Linked DNA regions of Oryzias latipes. Each later gene encodes a partner of the first gene's protein in a complex. Links are inferred from orthologs where the notes say so. Each region holds a gene or a part of one and is shown on either strand. Other genes may lie near its edges. The genes, in order: washc4 and washc3.

Evidence for each region.
Region 2: washc4 (region 1) and washc3 share a complex: the UniProt entries of both Homo sapiens proteins name them as parts of the WASH core complex. The link is inferred for Oryzias latipes from reciprocal best matches to the Homo sapiens genes WASHC4 and WASHC3.

Annotation. Positions count from the first base shown.
Region 1 is NC_019864.2:31,032,728-31,036,986, forward strand, and holds the start of washc4 (WASH complex subunit 4), read left to right. Parts: upstream 1-1,358; 5' UTR 1,359-1,449; coding exon 1,450-1,510; intron 1,511-2,888; coding exon 2,889-3,028; intron 3,029-3,107; coding exon 3,108-3,161; intron 3,162-3,232; coding exon 3,233-3,298; intron 3,299-3,367; coding exon 3,368-3,413; intron 3,414-3,501; coding exon 3,502-3,569; intron 3,570-3,650; coding exon 3,651-3,733; intron 3,734-4,150; coding exon 4,151-4,193; intron 4,194-4,259. Other genes in the region: tripartite motif-containing protein 16-like, read left to right, coding at 1-404. UniProt on the Homo sapiens protein: Acts as a component of the WASH core complex that functions as a nucleation-promoting factor (NPF) at the surface of endosomes, where it recruits and activates the Arp2/3 complex to induce actin polymerization, playing a key role in the fission of tubules that serve as transport intermediates during endosome sorting.
Region 2 is NC_019881.2:17,520,877-17,525,316, forward strand, and holds the start of washc3 (WASH complex subunit 3), read left to right. Parts: upstream 1-1,498; 5' UTR 1,499-1,647; coding exon 1,648-1,698; intron 1,699-2,014; coding exon 2,015-2,113; intron 2,114-2,799; coding exon 2,800-2,865; intron 2,866-2,956; coding exon 2,957-3,094; intron 3,095-4,246; coding exon 4,247-4,360; intron 4,361-4,440. Other genes in the region: zinc finger protein 252, read right to left, coding at 57-259, 771-810. UniProt on the Homo sapiens protein: Acts as a component of the WASH core complex that functions as a nucleation-promoting factor (NPF) at the surface of endosomes, where it recruits and activates the Arp2/3 complex to induce actin polymerization, playing a key role in the fission of tubules that serve as transport intermediates during endosome sorting.

The DNA.
Region 1 (4,259 bases):
GATTTACTTATTATCCTCTGGTTCTGAGTAGAGAGAGTCTGACTGGACGTTGTTACTGGGAGGTGGAGTGGAGAGGAGAACCTATTTGTGTAGCAGTCGCATACGACAACATCAGCAGGTCTGGAAGAGAAAGTGAATTTGGTTTTAATGATAAATCTTGGTCATTAGATTGTTCTTCAAACAGGTTCTCATTTTACCACGACAGCATAGCAACCTCCATCTCAGCTCCTGGTTCCTCCAGAGTAGGAGTGGACCTGGATCACAGAGCAGGTGTTCTGTCCTTCTACAGCGTCTCTGGAAGCATGACTCTCCTCCACAGAGTCCAGACCACTTTCACTCAGCCGCTCCATGTTGGACTGTGGGTGGGTTCTGGATCCACAGCAGAGTTGTGTAAAGTGAACTAGTTTCAGAAAGGAGTGAAATGTTTGTTTTCAGTGATTTCATCTAGAACTAAACTTTTGAACTGTTCAGATTCTGTGGAGTCATGTTTGTAGTCAGAAATGGAGAGAAAGGAAAATCTCTAGAATGTGGATTGGAGACATTTTGGAATATGAATGTCAAACTTTTGGGAGTCCAATCTGTTTTCTTTGAACTTTGGGATTCCAATGGTTTTGTGTTGTTGTCATGGGAACTGAAGGAAGCTGCAACACAAATGGAGTCAGTGAGGTCACCATCCCAGACTTTCTCTGGTTTGTTCTCCACAGAAACACCAAGAGAAGAAGCTGAAGGAGAAGATTGTGTTTGTGGAAAGAAGAACATTTAAAACTTTGTGTTCTTTCTGCTTCATTTGACAACTTTGAATTGAAGATTTGTGTTTTCATGTCTCTGTTCTTCAGAGAAAAGTGGTTTCTGATCATGTAACAATAAAAATCTCCTGTTTCCTGAACCACAGTGGTAATTGAACCCTCACACTGATGTCCAACATGCAGACTCCTGGTCTTCAGCGGTCCAACAGGAAGTTTGTTGTTACGTGCATGCATGCTGTGCATGTGCACTCCAGTGACGGGCAGTGAAGTTTGTGGCCGGGGGTGCACTTTCAGATTCAGTTTTACTCATTTATGTGCTGACTACTGATTGTGTTGCTTTTCTTACTCTTTCAAAACACAAACAGTAACAAGAACATATAGACCAGGGAGTAAAGTAACATGTATGAATGTTGTCCATCTACACACACTTAAGGATTTATTCCTGCAACATGTTTTGTGCTTTTAATTGTTTTTCTCTTACCTTAAAATAGAACAAACAACGTTTTTTTATTCCTCTTCCACATTATTGCGTTGGAAAGCACTTTGAATGTATTTGACAGGGGGTCTGTATTGCACACCAGGTTTATTTACCCTGGACTACATTACCCATGAGCACCTGCTGTGCAAATCACAAGATCTGTCATGAGATCCCGTAGCTTCATTTTTTAACAACACCGCGTTAGTTCTGGTCAGTTCTGGTACCATGGCGGTGGAAACCATCGCGCCCGACTGGGAGTTTGATCGTTTTGATGACGGTTCTCAGAGTAAGTGTTTTATCGAGCCGCGCGCGCGGAAGCAGCCGCGGACGTAGTTAGCTAAGCTTCGCAATGCTAGCCCGAGTCTTTTCGGTCGTTTCGGTATATGTTGTTGCAAAGCGGAAATCGTCTCCATATGAAACTACTTTTCACATGAAACATTTTATCTATACTTGTTTTATGCTTGCTATAAATGTAGGTCGGACAAATGTTCAACGCACGCGCGTGTAAATGAGAGCTAGCTAGCTGTCAAGTTAGCCGAAGTCTGAGTGACAGCTGGTCAGTTTGACAGCAGCGCGAATTAAAGCATTCTGACTTTCACTTTAGGAGAACTTTAAAGCTGCTATTTCTACGCATGTCAACCTGATGTTCCTAATCATTTAGTTTACATGTAAATGTTATTTACGGAAGCCGTGGAGGACTTTTCCACTCAGAGCCCTTTAGTTTCTCATGACAAGCTTTTCACAGACATTACTGTGTTTGTGTTCATTCACATTGTTTTCCTGTTCCTCTTTTATTTATTCTAGTTGTTATGTTCCACCATTTTTAGCCACTTAACTCCTCCTACAATTTTTCATCTATTTTAAGCATCCAACTATTCAAATGTTCAGCTCTTTTAGCTTTTCAGCTTTTTCAGCTATGACTTCAAATCCTTGAACTATTCCATTGAAATACATGGAGAATCCTTGGTGCAGAAGCTCGCTGGTTCAATTCCCGGCTCTGGCATTTTTCAAAAACATATCTTTTTTGTTATTGTGCTGTTTTCACCTTATGGTCAACTTTGATCATTTCCTAGTTTTTTGTTGCCAATTATTACCCTCTAAGCTCTCGAGTCATTTGAGCAGCTGGGTAGCACGGTTGGTAAGATGAGAGGCCACCATGCAGGAATCCAGGGTTCAATTCCCGGTACTTGGGCAAATATCATACCAGTGGTGAGCAATCAACATCAGCCAGTGCGGGCCCTTAGGCAAGACCCCAACGCCTCGCCTGCAGCTCACCGCTCCCAAATTGGTCAAACGTGGAGAAAAATTTCCCCATTGTGGGATAAATAAAGTATCTATTATTATTATTCAGCAAAATAGCATTCAATCCTGCTTTTTCTTCTGGAAATGCAGCTCCTCTGAGTTTTTCTTGGATGCTGACGGAAGACCCGTCTGTTCTCTGCGCCTCCACGCTGCTCCTGAAACGTCCTCATTGGTTGTGTTTCATTTTTCAAACACGTTTCTGGTTTGCTGCTCGCTGACCGTCTCACATGTGAACGAGCTCGTCACGAGGCGTCCTCATTTGGTCCGTTTGGAGAAATCTGAGGATAACCATGCTTTTGAAAAGGAGCAGGTGTGAAAGCTTCAGCTCAGGTGTTCTTAACCTTCAGCGTTCCTCTTGACAGAAATCCACACGGAGGTCCAGCTGAAGAGCTACAGCAGGTTTCTGGAGGAGTACACTTCTCAGCTGAAGGGCATCGAGGAGGCTTTGGACGACTCAATCGGAGACGTTTGGGACTTTACGCTGGACCCGATCGCTCTGAAGGTGAACGGTCCTGACACGGCCTCTGCTGCTCCCGTTAGCGCCGCTGAAGTCCAACTTCTGTCCGTTTGGTGTCTTTCAGCTCGTCCCGTATGAACAGTCGTCCTTGTTGGAGTTGATTAAAACCGACAACAAGGTGAGCAGAAGCTTCTGACTGCAGTTCTTGTCCTGAATCTCCTCCCTGCTGACCGCTCCTGTTGCGTTCAGGTTCTGAACAAAGTGATCACCGTTTATGCGGCTCTCTGCAGTGAAGTGAAGAAGCTCAAGTATGAGGTGAGCGCCGCGCCAGCCGCAGCAGATCGGGTCGCACCACGCACTCATTTACTGGCGTTTCTTTTTCAGGCGGAAACCAAGTTCTATAACGGCTTACTGTTCTACGGAGAGGGGGGTAATTCCTCGTCTGTTATCTACCGTTGTTGCAGCTTTGACCTCAGCTCTTCGTCTTCCACAAACGCTCCTCCTGGTTTGTGTTGCAGTGTCGGAAAGCAGCGTCGTTGAGGGAGAGTCGCAGATCCAGATGGGCAGATTTATTTCGTTCTTGCAGGTGGGCATGAAGGCATCTCCTCCATGACTTTGTTTGCAGATGTCTTCTGGATGCGGCTACAGGAGCTTCTCTGTGTCACAGGAGCTGTCCTGCTTCGTGTCCCGGTGCTACGAGGTGGTGGTCGGCATCGTCCACCAGCTGGCTGCCGTCTACAACAGCAGCAAGTAAGACCAGACACTGAATCCAGGGAAGGAAGCTCTTCCTGTTCATGAATCTGCTGGAAGATTCACCTGCAGCCGCACCCGAGGAGACGAGCAGTTTCCATGGAAACGGCAGCATCTTTTAGCCTTCAGAATGTCCCTCTTTGCTGTTTCGTGATGGGATCGTTGCTTAAACTCTTCTGATTCCAGGACCTCCTGATGGGATGAAGGTCCACCTTTGTTTGAACCCAAACCATCGCAGTCAAATATTCTTTTGTCATCGCCATAATGAAGGAAATCCTCTAATATTAGAAATTTAATGGAAAAAATCACTTAATCTAAATGATTTAAATCATTTTATTGACAGATTCTGATTCATTGTTTTGTGCGTTAAGTGCTTTTCTCTCCAAACGTCCTGATTTCTCTTTGTGTGAATCCAAGGGTCGCACCAAAGGTCATCGAGACGTCGGGGGTTCACTTCCAGGTGACTTTGCAGGTTTTTAGTAAAAGTCTAAAGCAAAGCGGTGCAGCCTTTTCTCACGGCGCGTCT
Region 2 (4,440 bases), on another chromosome or scaffold:
TCAGCCATAAGATATAGACTACAAACACTCCTTTATGCAACACAAAAGACACTCACCCGAGCTCTTAGTCCAAGAATGAGCTGGGCTTTCTGTAGGGGGTTGATTAGGCCAGGAATGGCCTCTGTCACAGTAGACACAAAGTCCTGCAGCTTGTCGTAATTTAACACATCTTTATGCTTTGCAAGATGCCACACAGCAGCAGACAAAAGCTGGAGAGGGGGAACCAAGAGACGCAGGGATGACAGAGGCAAGCTGGGGTCTGAAAAAGAAAGGTGTGATGCAAAATATTGCCTATAGAGGGCAGTAATTAGCCTGTTTTTAGGCATGTTCATGCTACTACTAGAGGTGAAAAACCCCCACTCAAAAGTAGCATTACCTTACAAATAAAAAAATGATGTGCTGAATTTTAAATTTAAGATATTAAATTGTCTAAAAAAGAATTTTCTTAACCTTAACAAATGCTAAATTGGCGATGTGCCTTTCATGATCTGTTATGAAATTGAAATAAATGCTGGATTTACATCTATGTTAACGATTTAACATGGGAATATATTGACTGAAACGATTAAAATTCAACAACAATAAAAAGTACAACTGGTCTGTAAACGTAATGTATCACATAACAGAAAAAAACTACCTGTGATTTCATCAACATTAACAGTTAGCCAGTTTATACTCCACACCATTCCTTAAGTTAGTCGGGTCCCAAAGAGTATTTTCAAAGCATAAACGTGATTTACGACTACATTTATTAATCTGAATACACTTACGATTAGTTTGCTTCTTTGACCCAAAAACGTCCATTTGCATAGTCCAGCGTTAAAAGTCTGAAAATAACAGTAACTGTAAAAAAATATTTTTTATTGGTTTTTCTAGCTAACATGCGCTGTTGGGACGCAAACATCGTTTCCTCCAATGTTTTTGAGGGTTCCGCTTTCAAAATAAGAGTTTTCAGATTCAAAATCGAAAACATTGTTATGTAGTTTATGCATATTCGCAAATAAACACGAATATTTCAGTATGTATATTTTTTTATTTAAGATGGTATTGTTTTAAATGTATTATCAATAGATTATGTGCACAAGTTAAATGCCCAAAAACTAAGACGTTTCACCGCAGTGATAAAGTTGGTTGTTGACTAAACTTTATAGTATTTTAAACCAGATGTGAAATAACAGTGCTATAAAATGGAATTAGGGTTTTAAGTGTTGATATTTATTATTTAATCAATTTTAAACTTCAGATCCAATTTAATTCAATTTAATTCAATTCAATTTTATTTGTGTAGCCAAAATTCAAAACAACAGTCGTCTCAATGGGCTTTTCTACTCATTGACCTGAAAATATCCTTGTAGTTTTATTTAAATCCTCTCCATTCTTCTTGTAATTCTTTTTATTTAATTTTTTGTTTATTTTTCTATTTAGACACATTTTTTTAAAGTTTTCAAAATAAAAGCTGAAGTGTTAGGCCATTGGTGCAATATAGCGGAAGTGACAAGAGGAATAGGACGCGCTATGACGTAATTACGCAAGTCACATGAAACCTTCACTACAAACCTTTTTAATGTGCTGTTTTCTTTATTTACACCCCATGTAGACAGATTATAAACGATACTGGACGTTTGCGCGGAGTTTTAACGACCCAGCATGGACGAGGACGGTTTGCCAATCGTGGGGTCTGGAGTTGACCTCACGAAGGTTTGTGTTTTTTTTAGCTAACAGTCATGGTTCGCTTGTAGATCTCCGTGGGAATGAAAGAAGTAGCTGAAAGATTAGTCAAGTAAGACTTTATGGGATAATAAACATGATTTTAATCACATTATAATAGGATTCAATCAATATTCCCAACGATTTTGTATTTGCAGAATTATTTTTCGTGTTTTCTTTTACTTTAAAATGCATGTTTTTGTAAAGGCTGGCACTAAGCATGACTCTAAATTTCTCCAGAATCTGATAGGACTCGCTCTCATGTGTCATCGTTTTCCTGATTAAATGACTTTAAACTCCCTTCTAGGTTCCAGCTATACAGCAGAGACGAATTGTTGCCTATCTCAATCAGTTTGTTGTCCACACAGTTCGATTCCTGAACCGATTTTCCACAGTTTGTGAAGAGGTTTGTGCATCTTTTACATCGTTAAAGACCCACTTTGATGGAAATCCTGTATTTAACGTGTTTCTTGTGGGATTCATCTCAATATACTTAAGGGAATTAAGCTTACAATTGCATTTTTGAGTATTATTTAATTCAAATTGTTGTAAATCGGGAGCAGACGAAAAAATGCAGTTTGAAAAAGATTGTATTTGTGATGTAGAAAATGCGGCGGATGGGTCACAAGCTTCCTGCTCCTCTCCATGCTGATGCATCCATTTGTTGCAGACAAATAGATCCATGTATGTCTCTGTTTTCCCCGTCTGAACTGGAATCTGGCTCTAAACTGTACGGCTGGATAGCTCCAAAATTGCTCGCCATTTTTGTTGTCCTCTTAATGTCAGTTTACGGGTGTTTGAGGGGCTGTAAGCTTGGGGAGAGCATGTAAACAGATGGATGATAGGAAGTAGGGGCGGGCTTACTCTGCACCAACTGTCGAACAACAGTTTTTTTTTTGTTTTTTTTTACATTTTTGCCTAAAAAACAACATTAACATAGTTAAAAGACCAATGGAAACACATTCAATATAGATCAAAAGTTGATGATTGGGACTTTAAACTCGATTGACTTTGAATTTATCAGTGTCAAAATGTGTGAAGCCCTCATGGTGGGAACTCGATCAATCCAAAATATCAACATTTCCCCCACAGAAACTTGCAAACATATCCCTTCGCATCCAGCAGATTGATACCACCTTGTGCATTTTGGAGGCTAAGGTGAGCTGTCACACCCTTTTCAAATTGTCATGGATGTCATTTCTTTTTTTAACAAATGTTTTTGTTGTTGTTTTTTGTCTTTGTGGAGCAGTTGGCCTCCATTCCCGGGCTGGAGGAGGTCACAGTAGATGGACTGAACCAGCAGCACAGTGTGCAGACAAATGGGCCCACTCCAACCAGTCAAATCCAAACAGATGGGTCTTCAGTGGGAGCAGTTCCTTCCTCAGTGGTGAGTGTTCAGACTTGTTATAAAAAAGACACAAATATCCCAACCCCCCCTTCCCCCACAGTTTTTCACAAATTTATAGATTCAAACCTGATACATAAGGATTATGGTACATTCATATTGTGAAAGGTCGACCGATGATTTACCTTTTTACTATAGTTTTTTTTAATATATAATTATCTCTATTGATTTTCTTATTTTATTTTATGACAAACATGAAAATAATCCTAAAATAGCTTTACAAAATTTTTGTGTAATGTAGAATTCCTATGGGGTCAAATCCAGATCAACCTAAAGTGAAGGAAAAAACACAAAAAATAAAATTTAAAACTGTTTTAAACTCAAAAACAGATGTGAAAGAAATGTTGTAAATGTGAAAAGTATAATTGTAACTTTGAAAAAAAAAAAAAGATTTTAAACTTGAGAGGAATATAGAAAATTTGAAAAATAATTTTTTAAGTTGAAACTTAAAATTAAAAAGAAAAACTATAAACTTATAACTGTTACCAAATGAAAATTAACATATATTTGTAACAGCTGCTGTTTTGTATTGATGTACCAAACTTTGGGAGAGAATTATCACTACTGTTCGCCACATCAGAGGAGGGATGACACAGGCGGCGCCAACAACTACCGCTGTTGTGGAGCGGAAATGACATCATCATACCCTTTATGACCTGATGTCAATCATGTCCAGGTAGCCAATGGGCTCAAAGCCCCAGATAACAGTCAGAATTCTGAATTGATGACAAGTTTAGGTTTATGTTAAGTTGAGAATGTACTTTTATTTACTTATTTATTTTTTAAAATTTAATTTAATTAAAATAACCAAAGTGTACTTTTGAATTTAAAACTGTTCACTAATTTTCTCAATTGTTTTTAATTTTACTTTGTGGTTTTTCATTCCCTTCAAGCTGATCTCGATTTGACCCACATATTTCTCTTTTGTAGTTTTGAAATTTCCAATCTTGCTTTATTTACACAACAAATAAGGAACCAGTTAGTAATATAGACTGAATAGCAGGGATCTGGTTGCCTGTGTGCGTTACAGAAACATTCTGAGCATCTGTTTAGTGTACAGATATTATTTTCGCCATATTCATCAGGATTATAGTTTCCTTTAAAGCTGCTTTTCAACGTTTCTTCATGCTTCAGCCTCAGGAGGCACGACAAGAAGCTCCTGAGCAAAAAGCAGCAGCCGTTGCAGAGAATGTCCTCACAGTGGCCAAAGACCCACGATATGCCCGCTACCTGAAAATGGTTCAAGTGGTAAGTTATTATCTGATGTAAATGTTTAACAAAAGTCATATTTTGTTCAGTAATTTAATGTATTATTTTATGTAATGTAT